Linked DNA regions of Pelodiscus sinensis. The protein of the gene in region 1 purifies or fractionates together with the protein of each later gene. This does not show direct contact. Links are inferred from orthologs where the notes say so. Each region holds a gene or a part of one and is shown in the gene's direction. Other genes may lie near its edges.

The links. The genes of interacting proteins can lie anywhere in the genome.
Region 2: the proteins of PRKACA (region 1) and AKAP11 purify together in Homo sapiens (affinity purification with mass spectrometry; 5 studies listed by BioGRID and IntAct, with this or other methods). This does not show direct contact. The link is inferred for Pelodiscus sinensis from reciprocal best matches to the Homo sapiens genes PRKACA and AKAP11.

The regions. Positions count from the first base shown.
Region 1 is NC_134729.1:10,100,203-10,108,177, reverse strand, and holds the start of PRKACA (cAMP-dependent protein kinase catalytic subunit alpha), read left to right. Parts: upstream 1-4,958; 5' UTR 4,959-6,561; coding exon 6,562-6,751; intron 6,752-7,975.
Region 2 is NC_134711.1:284,842,633-284,849,799, forward strand, and holds the start of AKAP11 (A-kinase anchor protein 11), read left to right. Parts: upstream 1-4,161; 5' UTR 4,162-4,352; intron 4,353-6,912; exon of another isoform or gene 6,913-7,167. UniProt on the Homo sapiens protein: Binds to type II regulatory subunits of protein kinase A and anchors/targets them.

The DNA.
Region 1 (7,975 bases):
GGATCCAGCCCTCCAAGTGGGTTGATTGAGCCCATGGCCACTCTCCCACTCCCCTGCTCCCAGGCCAATTGAGACCTAGAGATGGGGGAGCATGTGAAGTCTCCTCTCCCTGCCAGGGGCGTGCGGCACCAGAGGGAACCGAACATCCCAGCCAAGGTGGGGCAGGGAGTGAGAGATTTCATGAGCAGAGATGATGTCTGCTGCCCTGCCCCCGGGCCCTTCCCAGCGGCTGGAAGGCGCGGCACGGGGAGGGGAGGCGAGGCACCTCCTGAACTAAGGGGAAAGCCTCCCTTGGATTCTCCCCCACTGCCCTGATGCTTCTGCACTTTTTCTTTTTCGGCAGGGGGTGCGCCTCCTGATTGGCCTGGGGGTGGAGGGAGCGCAAGAACAGCTGGCAGTTCTCTCTAGGTGCCTGGCACCCCTGGCAGGGCAGGGGGCAAAGACTTCATGTGCTTTCTCATCCACAGGCCATTCACGGTCTGTGGGCAGAGGAGTATGTGAAGTCTCCTGGCCCTGCCCCTTCTGCCTGAGGCCCAGCCCTCTTCGGGGTGTCCCACAACTACTTCTGAAAGTTGTGAAGTGCCCCCCCCTTCAAAAAATATTGCCCACCCCGGCACAGAGGATGAGAACTTGGCAGACTTTTTCCTGCTATGACCTTGGACAAGTCCCTTCCTTGCTCTGTGCCTCAGTTTCCCCCACTGTAAAACGGGGCTTACGATATGGGGCCTCCTTTGCAAGGCACTTGAGATCTGCAGATGAAAAGTGCTAGTTAAGAGTTAAGGATTCTCTGCCTTTTGCTAGTGAGAGGTTGAGGAAGTTCCCATGGGACTTTGCCGTCCCATTTTGCCATCCCATCAAGCAGCTTCTCTCTCCCATTCATGATCTTTTAATCTCCTGGGGCAGTGACAACTGCTGATGTGGAAACATAACCTGAATGTAGCAATTGCCAGAACAGGGTCAGCTCTGAGGGCCATCTAGCATCAGCACCAGAGGCTGCAGAGGAAGGGGTAAAGAACCCCAGAGTAGCAATGGAGGGAAAACTTTCCGTTTCTAGAGGTCTCGTCCTGCTCACTAGCATTAGAGATCCACTTAAGCCCTGACGCACAAGCTTCAATATCCATTTCGGAATTATTGCTGTCATTTAAATTATAGCCTTGAATTGTCTTTCTCCCTGTGAATGGCCAGTCTAGTCTTGCCCTCAACTTTGTGGTGGTGAGTTCCGTGGGCTAATGGTAAAGTGTTTCCTCTTACTGGTTTTGAATTCCCCACCTTTTAATTCTATTTGAGTGTCCCCTGCTTCTTGTGGAATGAGACAGGAAGGAGAGAAGCTCCTCATCTCTCTTCTTCATCCCAGCTATTATTTTCCAGATTAAATGGTGGCCCTCTTATTGGGTTCCTTGGTAAGGGAAATAGTCCTCTCCGTCTGTCCTCATAGGAGAGTTTGTCCCAGGTCTAGATTGTTCTTATTGCCCTACTCTGAACGTTCTCATTTTGCACTATTCCTCTTTGATCAGGGGTGACTAGCACTGCAGCCGTTATTTCCGATCATGCTAGAATTTAATGGGTTGATGAAGTTTAGCAGCTGGAAACAAGGACTTGGCACCATGTTACTAGCAATTGCTGAGGTATCTGCGTCTGTTGATCCTACTTTGGACACTGGCAACCTGCAGTTACTTCAGTACCAGAAGTGAAACTCACTAGAATCTGAGTGAAATTGACCAGCTGTATTGGGTCTTCCCCCTTCCTCCCTGCATTTGTTCATGCTGAGATACCTGAAAAGGGATTAAGTGCAGTGGACTTTATGTTGAAAATAAGCTTTACAGTTAATAAGCCCAGGTGCTGGTAACATAAGAAGCAATTTTTATTGTCCTCTTTTTAAGCTGATAATGTCTCTCTAAATCCTCAAGCTACCTGGTTTTCTACTGAATTTTCTTTTAAATTCATGCGAAATTGCTCTCCGCACTAGGTTTTTAAGGAATCCTTTTGGTTTAAAATATACGTGTATATCATTTTGGGACTGAAAATGAGTGCAGTCCTCTTTTCATCAGCACCATTTTTATTATCTGAGCCTCACGGCGGGTTTCCCTTATTCCTTCTGGTTATTCCTTACCGGGTGAGGAATTAAATGGGTTTGTATTATGTGCTGCTGTAATGCCCATAATGACCTAAACTGAGGTCAAAGACCTGCATTGTGCTGGATGCTGCGCACACACCTAAAACAAGTCCGCTTCTGCCCTAAAGCGTTTTGAATCTAAATAGTCAGGGGAAGGATTCGTACCCCCATGTTACAGACAGGCAGCTGAGCTGAAATGACTGATCCAAGGTTGCATGAAGTCAAGGTCCAAACTCAGCATTGAATCCAAATCTGCCTTTACCACAGGCCATCTTGCCTAACTCCCAAAGCCAGAGACCACTGGGCTCATGTCAGGGTGTGGTCTGTGGACCCCTGGGGCTCTGCAGACCCTGTCTCTCCAAGGGATCTGCACCTCCCTTCGACATTTTTAGGGGTCCACAAATGAGAAAGGTTGAGAACCACCAATACAGGGTGACCTCCAGCATGGCACAACTGTAGGACTGGCCTGAATTAATTCCTGATTGAATTAGAGCACAAAAGTAGCCATGTTTGAGTTGAAGGCTGCCTGTGCTAGAGAATCTGCCTCAGCCCTTGGTCAGTTGTTCCAATGGTTAATTACTCACTGTTGATCTTCTGCTTGTGCATGACAGACCTGCTGTAACTTAGAGTGGAGTTTCCTGCAAAGAGCCTGGCTCCATGCAGGGCAGCTTGCCTGCTAGGCCAGTGTGAACCTGTTAATTGTGCTGTCCCCCCAGTTGTGCCTCCTTGTGTTCAGGCGAGAGCCACTCAGACGCTTCCCCGATGCACCCACTTCTGGGACGGAGCAGGGATTCCTCTGCTGAAATGAATGACTGATAAGCTTCAGGCTGCCAGACAGCCCAGCCTCTGGCTCTCCCAGTACCAACCCAGGCTCTTACTGGTGCTGCACCATGCGGCTGGTCGCCATGGGGGTCACCATCTGTGGCTGGGCCATGATGCTCCGATTGCTGAGTAGGGCAAAATGCCATCTGCTGGGTCCGTGTGTCCCTGCTGCTGCTGCTCATTGCTGGCTGGAGGGAGCTGATTTTTACCGAGCACGCTGGAATATTTTAAACCTTCCCTGCTGACCCTGCGGGACTCGCTGCCTGAGATGGCAGAAAATTCCCCTGGTCCTGCCAAAGCTGCACCTGCGCAAGGCTAACCCTTTGGGCACCGCTCTCGCCCGCCTGTCTGACTGGCATGTGGGCTGGCAGCCCCTCGGAAATGCCGACTCAGCCACATGTCAGTGACACCCCTTCCCCCGCTGCACTGAGACGCGGTTCTGACCCAAACAGCTCGCGTGGCCCCGGTTACGTAACCTAATGGGATCCCTTTCAGATCCGGAGGAAGGGCAAAGAGAGCCTGCTCCAGTCCCTCCCACGGAGTGTCTCGAACCTCTTGGCTGCCTCTTGTAGGCCTGATGGTGACTGGGGGGCTCCAGCGCAGGGCCTGGATGGGAGGGGCTGTCTCAAGATCCACCGCCAGGGTGCTGAGCGCACGGCAGCAGGCAGAGACCTTTCAACCCAGCTGTTCAGCTGAGCCGCTCTTGGTGGCTGGTCAGTGCCAGGGCTCCTGTTGAGCCAGGCGCGGCTCAGGAAGCAGATCCTGGTGCACGCGGCAGTAGCGCTGGACTTGGCTGGCCCCCTGGCTGGCTATCGGTGGAGGCCGGAGGCCACGTGAGCCACAGGGCTCGGATTCTCAGCCCTCCGACTGTGGCCCTGCTCAGACCAGCTGCAACATGAAATGGGTTTGGCAGGTGTCAGTCCAGTTCCCGGAGGGAGAGGCCTCCCCCTACCAAAGCCATGTGGGAACTGTGTGTGAGTCTCCTCCTGCCCCCGTTTCCCCCGCCACAGTCCCGGGAGTGTAAGGCCTGAAGGGGGAGCTTGAATGGGAGCCCAGAAGGTCCCGCCTTTCACCAGCCCCTCTGTCCAAAGGGGCCTATAGCAGCTAACTTTGCCCTTCCTCTTACTCAGTGAGGGGGGACTGGGCTGGGATGTGCTGAGAACAGGGCCTCTGGGAGTCGGGACTCCTGGGTTCTGTTCTTGGCTTGGGAGGCAGCACGGTCTAATGGTGAGGAGCCCAGGAGTCCTGTCTAGGATGATTCTGTGGTAGGAAGTAGGGATGTGAATGGTTTACTAATTGGTTAACCTTAGCGGGTGATGTTTGCTGGTTACAGTTAACTGGTGGGGGCTGGAGCAGCCCCCCACTTGCCATGGGCAGAGATCTGCTCCAGCCCCACGGGGCCTACTGCAAGTGGGGGTTGCTCCAGCCCCGCTGGAACAGCCCCTTCCCATGGGGGAAGGGGTACTGCAGCCCACCCGCAAGGGGAGGGTACTCCAGTCCAGCTGGGTTGGAGCGCCTCCTGCTCACCCTGGTTTAATCAATGAACTGATTAAAACGGTTTAATCAATGAACCGTTTAACCCATTAAATAATTGAAACAGGATTTTACATCCCTCGGCGGGAGGGCCCTCCCTCTGGGGACTGGACTGAGACCTGCCAAGTTAACTTCACATTGGACTGGGTTTGAGCTGATGCTCTAGAGATGCTGTAGATTCCCCTCCCTCCTTCCCACCCACTCCCCCTGAGAGTGGGATGCTCCGGGCTGCCAGGCCAGGTTCCCTGGGATCCCAACCTCCTGTCCTGCCACTGGAGCCCGGGGGCCAGTTCCCTGAGGAGAGCTGGTTGCTGAGAGAGCAGCTGAGAGCAGATGTGGAGCAGGGAGCTGATGCCTTTAAGGGCCTCGTGTGAACCTGGCGGCGTGCCCAGCCCTGGATCTCCCTCCCCCTTTGAGGCTGCTCCCTTGGGGCGCTTTCTGAAACAATACCTAGCGCGCGCCTCACTGGGGCAGGCTGATCCCTGAGCCTAGGAAGCGACAGGAGTGAAGCAGGCTGCTCCCTACCCTGCTCCCGGTTCTTCTCCCCGGGAGAGCCCGTTCCTGCTCTGCAAAGGGTCCTGGAGGCCTGCTTGGAAGCTGGGCAGCCATGGGGGAGCCCGCTGTGGCGTAGAGAAGCAGGGCAGCCTCCGGCAGGATCCCGGCTGCCAGGAGCCGAGGTCTGCGTCATCGGGGCGGCAGCATGGAGCTCAGACCTGGCGACCTCCGTGGAATCGAGGAGGGCTCAGATTTCGACTTCCAGTTCTGGATCCAGCTCTTCCTCTGGGTGCACTTGTTTGGCCGGCTGGTCTATTACCTCCTCCGCACCTTTGGGGGGCTGACGCAGTAGCCCCCTCGCCCCTTGTGCCCAGGGTGAGCAGCTTCCTTTCCAGATTGCCCCCTGCCTCCGGTCTCTGCAGCCCCCTGGAAATTGAGACTCACAAGAAAGGGCCTCCTCCTTCCCCATCCCACCCGCTTGCTTTTCCCCCGGAGCTCTATCCGGCTTCTGGCTTCCGCTGGAAGTGGCTTCCCGCTCCCAAGGTCAAGGAGTGCAGGGCTTGTTTGGGAAAGGCAAAGTAAAGAAACCTTCAAGCAACTAGTCCTGAGTCCCTCCCCTGGCGGCGGTCGGTACCGCCTGGGACTGCACGCCATGAGTCAAACCCCGTGGTGCAGCAAGATCTCCTCGCTGGGGTGCAGCCGCAGGGTGCCTGCAAGGGCCGGGGGTTCTGAATGTGGGTCTGTTTGAGCGCTGCTTGGAGAGCTGCCTTGGACGCGCTGCGACCCCCTGCTCTTCGGCGCTATACACGGGGGCTCCAGCAGCTGATTTCAGGACCTGCGTGCCTCTGACTCAGGCCTCATGTGAGCTGCAAGCCCAGCCCTGTTTCCTTTGCAGCCCGGGGCACTGTACCCGTAGGACAGTGTGTTTGGCAAGGATCCGCTCCCCCGCACACACAGGATCGGCAGTGAAGCAAGAGGGAGCCTCGCGCGCTGCTTTCGGCCCAAGGATCTGAGAGGAGCAGAGACCCACGGGTCTGCTTTAAGCCTCTCTGGGTGGATTTGCCCCTTGCCACCGGCCATTGTTCTGGCAAACCCGTCCATTCAGTTCTGGAGCAGAACCCGTCTTCCCCTTGCTCTCCAGGAAGTGAAACTGACTTGGCTGGCTGCGTAAGTGACCAGACTCCCCTATCCTGTGCCCTCTGCCAGGGAAGCCCACGCTCGGGACCAAGGTGAAGCCATTTCGAGTCCCTGGGTCCTCGCCACCTGGAGCAAGTGCAGGGAGGAGTCGTATGGAAGTGGCCTGCCCGCCTCTGCGTTGACAGCCAGGCTCTGAGGCTGCTGCAGGGCAGGGGAGCTTTTGGATGGAGAGTCTCTCCCCCGGGTAGAAGTCAAGAGCAGTCGGCTCAAGCCCCCATCTCTGTTGGGAGTGGACGAGTTTTGCTGGGGCTTGGGGCTGCTTCTCCGCTCCCTGACCCTGCTCTCGTCTCTGCTGCTGGGAAATGGCCGAGGCCGGAGGATTCCTGGATTGGGGCCCAACTTCACATCAACTCTGGCTGTGAGAGCTGAGGAGAGAGGGAGATAAATAAATTAAGGGAAACATGAGCCACGGAGGAGAAATGACCTGCCCCAACCCCAGCAGGAACAAAGGGGCTAAGATGTCAGCGCTTCAGAAACTGGAGAGTCTGGCTGGGCGGATTTTCTACTGGGGGCCGCGCAGCGAGGCGGGGGCCCCGGCCGGCAGCGAGGCGGCCCCTGTGTCTCCGCACACGCTCGCCTGGAGTGAGCAGAGTGAGTTGAGATGGAATCCGCAGGGGTAGGACCAGCCGCGGCACAGGGCCCTGTGAGTCGAGCTATCTGGCGGGGGCAGGGGATGCAGACACCATCAAAATGTGTGGGATTTGGGGGGCGGAGTGCGCAGGCCAGAGTCTGGCCTCCCCAGCTCCTCCTGGGAAGGATCCCTGCAGGGCAGCGGCAAGCACGTGAGGCCTTAGGAGCTCTCCGCTCCCGGGGCCTCCTCTTCCCGCCACTCCTGAGCCATGGAGGCCTGGGACAGGTCATGGGCCTGGGACACCCAAGTTCTGATTGTGGGAAGGGCTGAACCCGCCACGTGGCGTGAACTTTTCTCCGTGCCCGGCATCCGCCCCGGGCGCCAGAACCCAGGTGGGTGGCGCTGTGCTCTGATCCGCTGGCTCTAGCTGTTCTGCAAGCAGCAGCGAATCTCTCCCCCCGCACCAGGCTCTCCCTGCAAAGTGGGAGATGAGGTGTGTTTGGTGATGGGGCAGAACCGCCTCACACAGCGGGGGAAGTGACTTGCCTCTGCTTGCGCCAGATGGGGGCAGCGCTGGCCGTAGAATTCAGGAGTCCTGGTTCCCAGTCTTCCATGCTGGCCTAATGGTTAGAGCAGAGGCCTGGGCATCATGGCTCCTGAGTTCTGTCCCCGGCTCTGGGAGGGGTTTGAAGTCTCTGCCTCCTTCTCTTCCTCGAATGCCAGTCCCTGGTGTGTGGCACCTCTCCCTTTCCTCCTCCTATACCGGTGGTGCTGCGGGTCGGCTGCCAGGTACTTGGTCGCTGCATGTGAGGAAGGGGGCACAAGGACTCACTGGCTCCCTTCCTCGGGAGAGTCCTGGCCACTTCCCTGGGACAGACCTATGCCCTCATGTGTCACTTCCTCTCTGACATCCTGTGTCTGTCCTTTTCATCCCCCTCCACTTCCTCCTCCTCATTCCCCCAACCCTGCTTTCATTCCTCCCTCCCCTCAGGACAGATGAGGAGGCCTTTCCAGCCTGGCCCCAGCTGTGGGTGGGTGGGAGGGATTCCCCTGCAGGGAGGGAGGGTGAGGGAGGGGAGGGAGGATACAGGGATGAGCCATCTCTCCCACCGGCAGGCTCCCTGGATGTGCAAACAAGGTTGTAACAATAGTGCCTTGGCAGGGCAGCCAGGATTAAAATAGCCTCTGGCACCTTTAACCCTCTGCTGCCTGGGCCTTCCCAGCGTGGCCTGCAGATCCCGTGG
Region 2 (7,167 bases), on another chromosome or scaffold:
CCAAAGAGTAACAAAACCCCAATAAATCCATATTACGCTGTATAAAAGTTTTACACGGTGAAAGCTCACAAAGGTCAGTCCCCTTTATCAATGAAAAAGAAATATGCAGAATCGTTGCTCCCCCCTCCAGCTAACAATTATTTACATTTGGCTTGATTATAAACAAAAGTATTTTTTATTAAGTGTAAAAAGTAGGATTTAAGTGATTGCAAGTGAAAACAGACAGATCAAAGTACTAAGACAAAATAAAAAGAACCCACCAGCTAATTCTAATACACTAAGAAACTTGTTATATGCAAATTCTGACCTTAACAGCTATTCTAATGATCTTCCACAAACTCGACAGCCTTCTTGAACCTCTCCGCTGTTCAGTATTAGATTTTCCAGCAGGCAACTTGCATAGTAAGTGGGGACAGGTGGTCTCCTGGTGTCTGGCCACTCCCCCTGTTGCTTTGATGTCTCACTTTAATAACCTCATTGCCCAAGGTGGGAATTTTGTGATCTCTTCAAACTTTTCTCACCTCAAGTGGCAAAGTACAAGATTCCAAATGGTTTCCAGCATCAGGTGGTCTGGCCACATGTCCTTATAGGACCAGCCACAGTTTGGGCTTACAACAAAACCAAAACCATTCACAGGTTGTTAACTTATGCACAAAACCATTATGTCTCTGGAATATTACTAATGGCCCTCGTTAGGCCATCTAGAATTTTAAACAGATCCACAATTTATATATTTCTAACTAGCCATACAAGAATGATACATGACACAGAATTAGAATATAAACATTCAGCGAATTGTAACTTTAAAAATGTCAGAATGCATTTTGCCAAAAGCATCTTTAGGTTATGGATATTCATAAGCCAATTTGCATAAAGTATGGGGGGGCACGACAGTCACTCTTTTAGGGTACCTTGGTATAAGGGAAGACACATGACTGAGTAGTTGGTTCTTTCCTGGATAGCAGAACCACAAGGTATCATCTTTGTTGCTGAAAGCAACTGAGAAGTTGTCTCTTCTTTCTGTCAACCCAAGCTCTGTGGGTATGTTTGGGTGGCCCCAGCCACACGGATGTAGCTGTTTCTGTAGGTCTTCACTTGCCAGGCTGGCTTTGTCTCAGGAATGTGGATTAAGCCAACCTTTGGGGATCTTGGGGGGAGTCCTTCATTTCGGTGTATTCTCAGAGAATCCCTGCTCAGAGCGCTTAAACAAACAATTCTACTTCCTGTCATTTCTTCCTACTAGTGCTTGTGTTGTGTTCTGGGGGAGAGTTCCTGCTCATAGGCTGCTTACATGATAGGGGAGTCTCTGTAAACTCTGCATTAAATCAGTATGTCCATAAAATGAAAAATAAATCCAATTGGAACACTATTTTTAATACACATAAAAAAGAAAATAGAGCAAGAGTCCTTGCACTATATACAAATCTATTATATATTTTGAAGTGTTTGTTTGTTTGTAGATTTGTTTGTGCAAAATAAAGTCATACTTCATGTCAAGGCTGTTTCCCACTCTGGCACTCCAAATGCAGAAGGTGGGGTCCCGCAAGAGAGCTTCAAAAACCTTGCTTCTACAGGCACTGGTTACAAAACTTTCCCCCAGAATCCTAACACACAGATTTTGGGGAATTTGCTGCCATCATCAAGTGCTTTTTGAGCCTTAAAAAACAGTGGTGAACACCTGAAACTACTCCCAGGGGTATCCCAAAAGTTCTTTTGCCCCAAAAGAGCTTGAAAAAGAAGAGAGAAGAATAAGCTGTAGTCTCTGGTAGCTGACTCCTCAGTCAGAGACATGCAGAAACACACAGACAGACCTTCCAGGACACAAGAATAAAATAATCACCTTAAAAGAAGTGATTTTTATTACAAAATAAAAGATAAACGTGACAAACCACACTTGGTTGCTAGATGTTATAGAGCAACTGTGGAAACTGAATTAAAACAGAGAGAAAAAAAACTCTGGCACAATGCTTAGATGGTAGTAAATGGGGAAGGGAGGCACAGATTCACACAGAACCGTTCAAACCAAACCACACGATAAAGAAAAATTACCCTGAACACGACTGGACTCACATTTCCCTGGTACTCACTTCTAATTTGCTCTTTGTTCAGTCCGCTCCTATGCCCTGAATTTGGGGGGGGGGGGGAGGGAGCAGAACACAAACACACACAAAAAAGCAGGCCAGGGGTCCTAGATCCAATTCAAATTTCAACTCTATCCCCAATAGCTCTCTTGGCCCCCTGGCTGACACCTTCCCTAGGTTCCTGAGTTAACACCTTAGTCACCGGGTGCTGGTCAGCACTCCTGTTCATGTCACTTTGTGATTACCTACAGATACCAAATTTTGCATAAACAGTCCTGCCATTTAAATGAGCTGAATGCACTACTTTTTACACAGGAATATGCTGGGTGAAAGTTTTAAATAATTATTTTCGGTTTTCATTGGAAAAAGGTCATGACTTTTATTATTTGAGTTCATAAAAATATTTGCTAACAAAATTAAAATCAAGTTGCCCATTTTACTGTCATTTTAGTTCACTGAAAATGTTTACTGTAACAAATCACAAAGTAATCCAAATTAGTTATGGAAAGAGTAATGGAAGCAGGCCTCACCTGGTAGTATTGTATAACAGTGCATGAGAACCTGAAAGTGATATTGACTGTAATCTATAATAGGGTCAATATGTCATTAGGCTTGGAGTAAGTACAGTAATTCCTCATTTAACACTATAGATATGTTTCAGAAAATGATCATGTTAAGTGAAAACATGTTATGCAGGATCAATTTTCCCATTGAAAATAATGGAAAAGGTGGGAATTGCGTTTCAAGCGGTGGTGTCTGTTGGGACCGGGACATAAGATTGGGGGAGAAAGGGAACTGGGTTACAGCAGGGAGGGGAGGTGTTTGGCTCTGGGGAAGGGAAGAGGAGGAGAGGAGAGGGGGATTGGGTTGGAAGTATGCCCCTGTGATGGGTCCGTTGGGACCCGCACTGCATCCAGCGAGGGGGGGGGGGCACCGGGGAACAGCACAGCGAGCGGCAAACTCTCCGCCGCTTTGCAGGGAGGCTGGGGAAGCCCCGCGCAACCACCAGCAATGAGCCGGCTGGGGAAATCTTCTTATTCTGGGGACGGTCATGTAATTCAAAAAACGTTCCAAAAAAAATCGTGCTATCGTGAAAACGTATTACACGGGCACGTGTTAAATGAGGAATTACTGTACAGCACTGACTTTAAACATTGTCAGAGAGAAATAAAGAGACGAGTTCTCAGGGCCTGACTTTGGGAACATGGATTGAGACTGTGCAGTCATTGCCTCAGTTTGAGCATCCCTGGAAATATACCTCCCAATCTTCTGTTTCCTATTGTCATTGTAGGAGGGGCAAGATACAACTTTCACTGACATCATTAAGCCTCTTTCTATTGAGTCAGGGCAGGCCCTAGTAGAATATGGAAAAGACGTTGGGCTTTTTACATTTCGTGCTTACCAATCAGGATACCTCAATTCAGGGGCAGGAGCAGCTGAACGCAGAAATCAAAAGCCTGGCTAGGGCTAAAGGGAGCGTTTGTGTGCGAGACATTTAGACTCTGCTGATTGGCACACAACAGGTTCGCTCTTCTGAATGCTCCGTTGTTTGTGAAGCCTCTCGGGGTCTCGGCGTTCCCTGTGTACAGGCTCGGCGGGCTTTGATGGGACTTGTTTTTGCCGCCGCCTTCCCATTAATTTAATTGGGAGCAAGAGCTAGTGACCAACTTCTACCTGCCTGCAAAGTGGGGCTGAGACAGCTAACCCGCCTGGGGGGCGGGGGGAGGGAGTTAACTCTTGCCAGGGGCACTTTGGCCCCCGAGCCAGATGCACCAGACCCGGCTGCAGCCTGCCCGGCTCCAACGAAAGAAGCTCCTGGAGCCATCAGGAACCAGCAGCGGAGCAGCCGCCTAGCACTAGCGCGCCCCTTCTCTGCCCAGGCTGCAGGGCGTGGCTGCCCAACCCGCGCGTGGGGGGGCCCGTCTGCACAGCGGCGCCTTGAACCGGCCGCGGCTCCCAGGAGCGCCTGACTTGAGCGGCGCGCGCACACGCGCGTAACTCCCTCCCGGGGCCGCGTTCGCTAGCTCCACATCGGCTCGCTCGCCCAATAGGAACCGAGGCCGTCCGTCACGTGACCCGGCCGCCCTCCTAGTTGCGCACGGGGGCTGTGCGCGAGATTGCAGCCCGTCGGCCCCGCCGGCGAGCCTCGCGAGGGTTGGGTGGGCATCGCGCGAGCGCGGCGGAGGCAGGGCGCTGCGGCGGCTGGAGCGGGAGCGGCCGGGCGCTGAGGGGGTGTGACATGGCTGCGGGCGCAGGACGCTGCGGACCCAGGTACGCCCCTCCCCCTCCGGCCCGGGCGGCGCAGGCTCTTGGGGGGGGGAACGACCGGGGGGCGCCCCCAGTTCCCTGCGGGACGGGAGCCGGGGCCGCTTCGCATCCCCTTCGCCTCACGAGGAGCATCGTTCCCGCTTCCCCGCCTGGAGCGCTCCGCAGCCGCCTCCCCCCTTCCGCTCGGGGGACACGCTCCCTCGCGCTGGCCCTGGTGCGTGGCCGGGACCCAGTCCGGCTACTGGCCCGTGCGAGGCTGCTGGGCGTCTGCAGCCCCCCCCCCCCCCCCCCCCCCGCCGCCCCGGTCCAGCGGGCTCAGCACTGCGGTCTCTTCCCGGTGGGGAGCTGAAACCCATTTATTTGGTGGTCGGGGGGGCTCTGCTGGCCCGCTGGGCTGGTGCCGTGGGTGGAGCGCTGCTCCCAGGGACCGGTTAATTGTTGCCCAATAAGCATCACATCATTAAGGGTGATGCTTACCGTGTAACCAATTGCCCGTTCGCCTCCCTGCTTCCAACCCCCCCAAATTTGGCTGCAGTTCTCTTTTATTGTGGGCTGATCCCTCTTAGTGCTAGTGGCTGCTTCATGGCTTCACCCTAACTTTCCCAAGCAGCCAATTTCACTTCTGCCTAAAGGATCCAACACTAGGCTCCTGACTGGAGTTCTTGAGTATTCTTGTAATAAAATGGGAGCATCATAAAAATGACAATAGTCTTCTTAATTTCACTATGCTGCTTCTTGGGAAAGATACCAGTGGTGGTAGAGGCAATGGAGCTGTCCATCTCAGACTCAGGAGGACAGCACTGTGTCTCTTCACATTTGAAAGGTTCTTTCATAACTTTAAGGATAGCCCTTAGATATGCTAATAGACATAATACAAATGGAAATAGAAGCTTGTTTTTGAGATCCTAAATGATAGGCAAATTGGTGGATTTGGACCCATTTCTCAGGTCAGCATCTCAAGGCAGTATGAATGAATTGGCAAGTGGATTTTTCATGTCTTGCTTTTAGGCCTTATGCTGCTAACTATTCATGCTGTATCAGCTTTGTACATCTCTCCTGAAATTTCACTGCCCTAAATTAAATTTAGAAGACCATTCACTTGATGAAAAAACTAGTGATGTTACTTACTCTTATTGTGGATGGACAGCAAAGAAAATAGAATGTTTCTTCCCAATTTGATTTACTTGTGATGGCACAATCCTTTTATCTTCTGAATTCTATGCATCCCTGGCAAATAACTTTTAATCTTGAGCATAATTTTTGTGGCCTTATTGTTGCAGCTACCCTGTCATATTCTGCTGTATAATTTTCCTTAATTTAATGAAGACAAATTAAGCTAGTGGACCATTTCTTTGCCACTGAATAATGTTTTCAGAAATATTTTATTTGATAATCTGAAGTTCCATATCCAGAAGCTATCCTACTCCCAACATTTTGGATGGTAATTCTGAAGTTTTGACAGATTAATCAACAAAAGTCTGTTGGTTTAAGAAAACATTTGCCTTTCCTTAAAATTGCTTAAAAATGTGTGTATTAGGGTAGGAAAATATTTATTTTTGCTTACCTTTATTGATTCATTTCAGAAAAACTGCAAAATAATAAGTATTTTTTGGGGTTCTTTTGCTGATACTCCATAAGAACTTGATAGCCATACTTGGTCACATCAGTGGATCTTGCCTGGTATCCTGTCTTTTGACAGCGGCCAGTACCAGATGCTTCAGAGGGAATGAACAGATCAGGGCAATAACCAAGTGAGCCATCCCCTGTTATCCTGTTCCATCTTGTGGTACTCAGAGGTTTAGGGACACCCAGAGCATGGGGTTCCATCTCTGACCATCGTGGCTAATAGTTATTGATGGTCTTTCAGAAACTTAACTAGCACTTAGCTAGCCCTATCTTTCAGGAATTTAACTAGCTCCTTTTCTAAAGCAGCTATATTTGTGGCCTTCTCAGCAGCCCATGGTCATGAGTTACATAGGTTGATAGTCCATTGTGAGAGGAAGTACAATGTATACTTTGTTCATTAGCCTGTTTGTTTATAAGCCAACTCTCCTCTCCCTCCCCCCGCCCGCATTCCCACAATGGATAGTTTAAAAATGGCAAAACCCTATGGACTCTTTCATAAGCCAATCTTATATTGCAGAGGGTGGCTTTGGCTCCCAATCTGTCAGGGATGACTTGCTGGTGCACTGGGGCATTTTGTTTACATGGAGCATCTGTAGGCAAGAAGCCTTGCAGCTCCAAGTGGCTGTGATTTATCTTATGGGAAGTGGTGTAGGTGAAGGGATGTGCTGACTGCCATTTCCAGCTACTACCATTGGAAGTGGCAATGCTCAGTGTCTGTGGATGCTCCAGGTAAACAAAATGCCCCAGTGCACCAGCAAGTTATCCCTGACGGGCCGGGAGTCAAAGTTTGCTGACTCAGAATCTGCAATGACAACAGTGACCTATTGATAAGCCAACCTCTGCTCTTTGATGATTCACATTTTTACCAGAAAAATTCAGCTTATGGACAAGAATATATAGTACTTGTTTTAAATCTGATGCCTGTTAATTCCTTTGGGTGACCCCTCATTCTTGGGTTATGAGAAGAGGTAATAACATTTCCCTATTTTTTCCCACACTATTTATGGTTTTATCAACCTGTATTATAATTGCATTAGTCATTTGTTTTCTAAATTGAATAGTCCTATTCTTTTTAATCTTTCCTCATATGAAAGCTGATCCATTACCCATATCATTTGTGTTACCCTTCTGAGTACCCTTTTCAAATCTCATGTGCCTTTTTTTGAGAAGGGGTTAAGTGCCCGCAGTTATC